Linked DNA regions of Neurospora crassa OR74A. The protein of the gene in region 2 interacts with the protein of the main gene of each other region in a pairwise test. Links are inferred from orthologs where the notes say so. Each region holds a gene or a part of one and is shown on either strand. Other genes may lie near its edges.

What was found.
Region 1: the proteins of NCU09118 (region 2) and NCU02204 interact in a two-hybrid assay, tested with the Saccharomyces cerevisiae proteins (2 studies listed by BioGRID). The link is inferred for Neurospora crassa OR74A from reciprocal best matches to the Saccharomyces cerevisiae genes TOP1 and TRI1.

The regions. Positions count from the first base shown.
Region 1 is NC_026507.1:3,338,208-3,342,395, reverse strand, and holds NCU02204 (SWIB/MDM2 domain-containing protein), read right to left. Parts: upstream 2,838-4,188; 5' UTR 1,810-2,837; coding exon 1,797-1,809; intron 1,737-1,796; coding exon 1,600-1,736; intron 1,467-1,599; coding exon 1,005-1,466; intron 953-1,004; coding exon 767-952; 3' UTR 190-766; downstream 1-189. Other genes in the region: NCU02205 (hypothetical protein), read right to left, coding at 3,823-3,995, 4,158-4,188. UniProt on the Saccharomyces cerevisiae protein: May be involved in transcription regulation.
Region 2 is NC_026501.1:5,391,525-5,395,787, forward strand, and holds the start of NCU09118 (DNA topoisomerase I), read right to left. Parts: upstream 2,865-4,263; 5' UTR 2,132-2,864; coding exon 2,080-2,131; intron 1,888-2,079; coding exon 1,664-1,887; intron 1,604-1,663; coding exon 1-1,603.

The DNA of each region.
Region 1 (4,188 bases), on a different chromosome or scaffold from region 2:
TTCTGGCTTGGCATGCCTGACTATGGCGACCGTATAGGGGCAATCAGTACATAACATACATACCCTGTCGTCCCCTTTTTAAAGTGACTAGCTATCGGCTTCAGCCTTATGGTGGTGTTGGAAGTGCATGTGAGAAGGACTGCTGTATTTCTCAAGTACGAACACAACAAAGGAGAAAGATCGCTGATGTCTCGCCATGCCTGTTTTCCCGTTCCCTATGGTAGGTCACCATGATACTAAACACCACCATAAAATGCTAAGAGATGAGCTGATGAGGATATGCACCTCCATTCTCCAGAAAAAAGTTTGACACCAGGACGAGCAGCCCTACCCAGCCGTCGACCGCCGGTGATAGGCATGACTCAAACTCGGTCACTGTTCTTCCTATTCCTACTTGTCGGTTAGGTGCACGCTATAAGCGAGGCACGTTAACCTAACCGACGAGTAACCCTTCCGACTTACTCATAACCTGTATCTGCCTCCAAATTGGTATGACTGGGGTAAGAGAAACCCCCCTTGCGCCCCTGAGAAAGTCTCAAAGACAAACCCCAGCAAATAGCAAAACCCGAGAAAATGCGCTATCCCTTTCATACACCTCTCCTATCAACCCTCAAACCATGAAAACGAGACGTATTGTGGTATACTAGTAGTTCCGAAGCCCCAGAGATTTTCCAATGACGCCATGCACGCCCAGCCTACTGCCTAGTCCCCAATGACCCAATACCAACGTGAGGAGCCCTTTCATCCCAGATCAGAACGTGGAATTCTACTCTTCAATCGGATACAGCTGGTTGCCGAGGAGCTTGTTCATTTGGAACATGTTGATTGAGCTCTGCTTGAATACCGCCTGAAGTTTTTCGTCGCAAATAATCTGTCTCTTGTCGCTGGGATCCTGCAACTCGTTCGCTTTGATATGCTCCCAGAGCTTCTTGACTACCTGTGGGCGTGAGAGCTGTGATGGGGTTAGTTTTCGGTTCACGGCCTATTGGACAATGACCACCAACCTGAGCTTCTCCGCAAACTTCCTGGAGAGGGTAACTTAGGTTGAAGGGCTTCTGGAAACCGCCACCGGCCTTGCGCTTTTTGGTCCCTTCCACCTCTTCGGGCTCCATGTCACTATCATCGTCCGACTTGACCCGTGTTGCGCTCTTCTTCTTTGGTGTCTTGGCCTTGGGTTTGGACTTCTTGGTCACCTTGGCTGCGCCTCCACCTCGTGTTCGGGGTCCGCGAGAGAGCTTATTCTCCTGCGCTTGGAGTTCGGCAGCCAGGCGAGCGTCGGCATCCTCTGAGCTCTCGCGCTTTTGTTGCTTCTTAGGCCGGACCTCGATCTCGCCATCGGTAGCAGCGTCATCTTCGTCGCTGTCAGGAGTCGCCTCGGGAGTCGCCTCTTCGGGTGTTGGCTCTTGGGCAGCCTTGCGTGCTTGCGCGGCGTCGAATCGGGCTTCTATCAAGCCTTTGATGGCATGCTATACGGAGTCCAGAACTGTCAGCAGGTGATCGAACAACCGAAACCGGGGAGGGTGCTAGGAGAGCATTGGGGTTTCTATTAGAAGCAGCAAGCCAATGCAGCAGACAAGGCGGGCTTTAGCACCGACTGACCTTTTGGTCACTTAGATCCTTGTTTATGGCCGCTTCCATTTTCTGCCGAATGGCCTTGCGAGAAATTGTATCGAGGTCGGCAGTTTCGAGAATTTCATCGATGACGCGGGCGTAGGTCGCCTCCTCCTCGGGAGTAACTAGACCGAGTTAGCATAGTTTCATTCGGTAGGGGAGACCAGCTTGGGCAATGTTCCTACATTGCGCGGCCATGTTGCCGGTGGTGTAGCACAATACACCCACTGACGGGAGAAATTGGGGATGATTGGGTGCGGTGTCCACTAGAACCTTGTGGTGTTCTAAACTGAAGCTGGGCTGGCAGATGATGTAAGGGCTGGTAGCTTCAGTGGATGGAATAGCTTGCGCCCTGACGAAAAGTCCGGGTAGGAATAATTCTTGGGTGAAGGAAAGTAAACAGCTGCGATTAACAGGTCGCCGACTGTGGCCTAGTTGAACAAAGCAGGAAGTTTGCGGGCGCGACAGCTGACTTTGTTTCAACGCGACAACAGAATGGCCGTTCTTTGCTGTCCGAATTTGGACTTGAAAGACAGGATGCGTATGGGCCGCTGTTTGAACAGCCGGGGGGTCAGGACGCTCAAGATACCGGACAAGAAGCGCAAAGTAGCAGGTTAGGTTTGTCGCTCAAGTAGGGGCGCTTGGAGCAAAAGCCGGTGAAGATGATGATACGCTACGAGATGGTCGCGAAAAGGGAAAGGATGAGTGACCGATCAATGATGGATGATCGAATCATCCAAGACACGACAGAATTGGGTCAACCCTTGGGTGTTGGAGCTGGAGGGAAGAAGGAAAAAAAAGAAATATAAAAAAAAAGACCACGTCCTGCCGGCTCAATTGTGTCGAGTATGCCGGGTGCCCTGATGTGACAGGTATAGATAGAGTAGGGATGCTGCGATGCGATGCGGTTGTGTGATGCCTGCGATCGCGTACGGTGGAGAGAAGGTGTTGAGTTGAGCCTCGAGACGTGTAGGCGCACAAGCAGCGAATTGCAGATTCAGCAGTTTCTTCTTCTGATGCAGATGGCCAGCCCAAGCATGGAACGAAGCGCACGATGACCTCAGGTACCTGAACAAGTTCTGGACGGGAGTGGAGTACTAGCTGAGAGATGCGATTCCTTCAGTTTACCGTGACATTGCCGTCGCGGTCTTCTGTTCAGTTCATTGCAGGCAGTGTCTTGCGTTGCGGCGGCGTCCGGGAGTCTCAGTCCAGTGAGGTCGGTCGCGGTGTTGGTGGTCCACGGTCCGCCAACTGTCCGCCAAAACCGGAAGAAGTGAGGCTGCTTTGTGGCTGATTTGCGACGGTGATTGGTTCCACACTTGGCTTCAAGGGCCCCACCTACGGTTCCGTCTGCCGTCCCGGCTCGTCTGAGATGGAAGGAAAGTGGGGTGGTGTTCAGAGCGGCGATCCCATTTCTAGCCAATCAACGGACCGAATTGCCTACCACTTGCTCTCAGGGCAGTTCACGCTGCCGCAAATCTCCACGCCGGTGGCCGATGGCCGGAATGCGGGCAGCCACGTGATGCGGAAGCCAGTGTTCAATGCCGCCGGAGGACCCTTCGTCTTACAACTCCCAAGACTTTCCTCTTTCGTCCAACTTACACACTCGAGGGAGAGTCGACTTGATCATGTGTGATCACTCTACTAACAATGTCGATTTGGATGGCACCATGGGATGATAGGGACGAGAGATGCTATAAAACCCCTTCTCCTACGTGATTTGGTCTACCTAGCCTTTGTATCGCCCTCGTTCGTCCATTGCTGTTTTGGACGATTCATGGTCAGTTGTGGGAAGAGAATCCGAAGGGACTCCCATTTGCCAACCCCGGGCATCCGTCTATTCAAGTCGGTTAACCCACCACGCCTATCCACTCTCTTGGGATGAATATCGACGTCACCCACCACCTTTGCTCAGTTGGCACTCGACAATCCGCATCAACCAGACCACCTAGGCATATCGCAAAGTTTACGCCAAGAATAAGAAAGAGCATCGTTACCAAGTGGCCCGTCGTACGCGAAAGGCTCCAAGATGTAAAGTGGACTGGAATGTTAGATGGCCAAGTCTAGATGCAGGGACGAGTGTTGATTCAGAACTCCAATACCGAGGTGAATGTGTACGATATGCTGGAACATCCCCAGTTCAGTGCGGCGTGGGATATTCAAAACAATGTCTTGCGTTGAGGAAGGAGGGTAGGAAGAGACAAGAGAAAGCTATCCTGGAACTCTTCGCAGAGCGTGGACGGTGATGCAGTAATATATCCGTGTAGAGGTACCTATCAGCAAGGCTGCAAATACAAGAATTCTCATAGAGGAGAGGAAGAGGTTAGGAACGACCTGCATGATGCACTCCCATGACATCAAGTTGTCGTGTTCAGTTCTTGTTGCTAAACAAATGCGGTACCAAGAGTCCACATGTAGGTCAAAAGACGAGTGGCATTCCAGACAAGTTCATCTCAGCTGGAAACCCTTTCCACCTATGTACTACTGGAGGACTTTTAGCCAGTCTTTCCTCGCTTGATGCGACACGAGCCTCATGTCCTACTTACTACGAGAATGGGCGTGGATAGCCACCATCTC
Region 2 (4,263 bases):
GGTTCTTGAAGACCTGGCGATCGACCGTGAACTCGTTGTAGAAACGAATACTGTCCTTGCCCAAGAAGTCGAAAATGACAGTGTTGGGTTCCCTGAGGGTGACGTGCTCGTACTTGAGAGAGCAGCAACCGACAGTCTCGGCCTCGTTCTCGGTATCCTTTTCGTTACCGGCTCTGAGAGCGAACTTGTCAATGAGGTACATGGCCGTTGCGCGTTGCCTGTCAGCCATGACCTCGCTCTTGAGGTCCTTGGTATAATCGGCACGGATGCGATCAATGTATTTCTTGAGCTCACGGGCCTTTTCGAACTTCTTGAAATCGGCCTTGCCCTTCACAGTACTGTTTGCTGCCAACATCACATACTTGTAGTGTCCGTTGATGTTCTCTTGCCACATCGCGAGCCAAGTTGCCTTGTTGTCATGTTGAACGGCCTTCCACTTGTGGCCAGCTGGCGGCTCTGGGACCTTGGCCTCTTTGCCGATGTTGATGGTAATTTGCTCTGGCAAAACACGCTTCTTGATACACCCGGTCTTGGGGTGATCACCGCGACCACGGAAAAGTCCTGGAATTTCCACTCTGGGGTTACCAACCTTTTCTTTTCGCCCATCCCACTTGCAATATAGATAGGGGGCGTCCCTCTTGTCCCTTTCGGCTTTCTCGGCCTTCTTCTCTGCTGACGACCGGGCATTCTTAGCCTTCGTTTGAGCATCTTTGTAAGCCCACAACTGGGAGAAGTCGAGTTTTTCGAATTCCTTGATGTCAACCTTTTTGCCATTCTTGTCCTTGGCGCCACCTGTCCGATCTAGGATCTCCTTGAAGTCCCTGAAGAAGTTCTTCTGGAAAGTTGGGTTCTCAACATTCACCGTCGAGTTAAGCATGAAGCCGAAAAAGGTCGCAGCTTCCTCGGCCTCGATATCGAGTTCGACCGGCGTTCCATCGTAGAGCAGTTTGACGTCCTTGGGCAAACGCTGGTAATCCTCGGGGAAGATGACGCCGTTGTGCTCCAAGGTGGTCCACTTGATACTGTCATCTTCCTTCTTTGCCGACTCCTCCCACCACTTATACTCCTCTTCCTCATCGTCCTCATCGGTGATGTCCTTCGATTCCTCCTTGACGGACTTCTTGACAGCGGCAACCTTGCCCTTCGGGGCGGCCTTCGTGGCAGCCTTTGCAGCCGGCTTTGCAGCAGGCTTTGCAGCAGGCTTCGCGGCAGGTGCCTTCTTCGCCCGCTTAGCGATGGGCACATCCGAGTCAGACTCTTCCTTCTTCACACCATTCGTCTTCTTCGCAGCTGTGCCGTTGACCTGTCGCTTGGTGGGTTTCGCAAGGGGTTCGTCATCGGAGGATTCATCCTTGACGGCCTTCTTAGCAGCAGGCTTCTTGGCCTTGGTACCAGCACGAATACTCTTGGCTTCCTTGGCGGCTTCCTTCTCGATATTGGCCTTCTTCGCGGCGATCTTTCCGAGAGGTTCGTCGTCATCAGAATCTACGTCCATATCCGTATTCTTGGCGGAGGGAGGCAATCTCGCGCCATTTTTTTTCGCAATCGGCTCGTCGTCGCTATCGGAGTCTGGTTGCTTATGTTGTGTTTTTGAACGTTTCGCCTGTCCTGGTCAGCCACAGACCAAGCAAGGATACCAAGCTGCAAAGACTGGGAAACTTACCAAGGGTGCTTCGTCATCACTGGAGTCATCCTTATAGTTGATGGACTGATCAATGGATGTCCGCGATTTGCGCTTAGCCTGACCGCTTACTGAGGAGTCGACGTCCATCCTGTCCTGGTCGACGGGGCCATTACGGATGGAGACACCAACGGGAGCCATGTGAACCTTGGAATCAGCAGCGTCCATGGCACGATCATCGGCCTTGGAGATGGTCGGCGCCGAGGCTATAGTTGAAGAGAAAAGATTAGTCTCATGGGCGTGGTACAATGACAGATTGCATTTAGACGAGGCCATGGAAGGCATGACACGTTGACTCAGATCGGCTGGCAAACAGTGTGACGGGGCAGAGGATAGAGTGAAATAAGCGAGGGCTGATGGATGAAAGTGTGTGACTGATCACAGAAGCATTGACGTACCGTGGCCGTTGACCTTGGCGAGCGGCTTGTCGTCTTCAGAGCCCGAAGACATGGTTGCTAAAGCGTGTTGCGGTGTCGGCACTAGTAGGTACGTACGAATGTGTAAGGGCGCAAAATCCGACCCGTAGAGGTAGCGGCCGCTAAACAGTGGCGAAGGGTTGCTAGCAAGATGTCTGCAGGGCAACCGAGTCGAAAATGTTGTCGTCGGTCGTCGCTAGGAAGGGAGACGTGGAGAGAAAGAAATTCGCCGCTGGAGGTGACCGCTTACACCTTTGACCGTGGACAGAGTCTTGGTGCAAGTCACTTGGTGACCAAGGCTGGAAAGCGAGGGTCTCGGGAACTCGTCAAGGTCTTGGGTGCGCGAAAAATCGAGATGGCCGGTCGAGGGAACGAGTGTGTGAAAAAAAAAAGAGAGAGGATGTGGAGAGCCTGGAGGGTGGAGAGAACCAGAATGGCGCAAGGTGAGGGAGAAGAAGTGAAGGGAAAAAAGCGAAGGCGGAGGGCAGCATGAACGAATTCGGGAAGAGCAAGGGCAGTCGGGAGGCTGTTAAAGATAAATCCTGGGGCTCCACCCTGCAACTCTTTCTGGGCGGTCGTTGCCAGGACCGCCAGGCTGTGGAAGTATCGATGGGTGCTGTGGGTGGGTGGGTGTGTGGGTGTGTGGTGAGTGAGAACTGAGTCTCCAGTCGGGACTCCAGCCAACGGAAGGGAAGGTTTCGATGCGTCGTCGCGGTCGCAGGGGGATGTTCGCCAGGTCCAGTCTGTACCGCAATTCTCCCTGGTTCGCCTGGGTCGGTGCACCTCACCTGCCCCAAAATCCCTGAGGTGGTCGACTTTGAGAGGCCGGTACCTTTTTAGCGCGTCCCCGCTCTCGGTACCTTGAGTCTGAGCGTTCAGTTTCTAGCGTAGCGTACGCCCGTCAGTGTCGTGAGTGCGGTACGTAGAATCTATGGAATGGAAGTTCTCTGTTGCGTGTGGCAAAGACGGGCGCTCCAACAACAGTACGCTAGGCACCACTGGGATCGTGAGCACCCAGCCTCACAATGATTGCTCCAGAAAGCTGAAGGCATACTGACACACCTTGTTCATTCAAACAGAAAAACACCGCGTCGTCTGATCTTCACCCTAGTGAAGCTTCCGTGTGCTTGCTTAATCTGTGGGTGACTTAGGTTCAAGTTATTTACCGTCAAGGACACTGAGACGTGGACGCTTTTGATACAACCGTTTGCAAGGCACTTCCTCGTTCAAGTGAGCACCAAATTCACAACCGGATCGATGCTAAGTAGTTATCTCAGCGCTCAGACCCACCTTGAGCTCCCGGGCGTGCACGGACCTGTAACGAATACCACAATCTCAGCATTTTATTGATAAATTGAATTTTCTTTCCAAACCGGGCAATATTTTGGCCCTCCGCTCAAGGAGGTCTGAGTACACAACTCGATTAGAATCGCGTAGAGGTTGACCAACCCCCCAGAATATCAACCTCAACACTATAACTTCACAACAACACGTCGCATCACGAGGGTTTCTAGTTAATTCGGATCGCAAAAATCACAGCTTTCCAACGGTATCAATTTCATTATCATTACCATAGAGGAAGACTCCCAACACAAGGATGCGCAATCCATTCGCAATCTTCCAGCCCACATACAACATCGTCGTAATCGCTCTTAAGTATAACCATATTACTAACGTACTTCTTTAGCAACTAAACTATTAGGAATTAAAGAATTATTTGCTCTCTCTTCTACTCCATCTAATATTTAAGTCCCGGATTATATATAAGTAGAGCAAGACGTCGATAATAGAGTAAACTACAATAATACACTTATAGAGGATAATAATTATAATATTATTAAAGAGATATTCGACCTTTAGGCTCGCCTCCAATTAAGGTATAGTAAATGCGTAATAAAAGTAGCGATAAAAGGATAAGTTATTAAACTAAAGTCGTTTAATATTAAGGTATTTATAGTAGAGTAGTTTAAAGTTAGGCGTAGAAGTATAGATTTTATTAGTTTTTTCGACGAAAATAACAATATAAAGGAAGCTTTTAATAATAGTAGTCTTATTATTTAGTATACCGTTAATATACCCGATGGTCTAAATTACCCTACTTTTATACTATATAAAGAGATATAGGCCCTATTTACTGAGTTATTCTTCGGATAGTTTGAGGTTGAA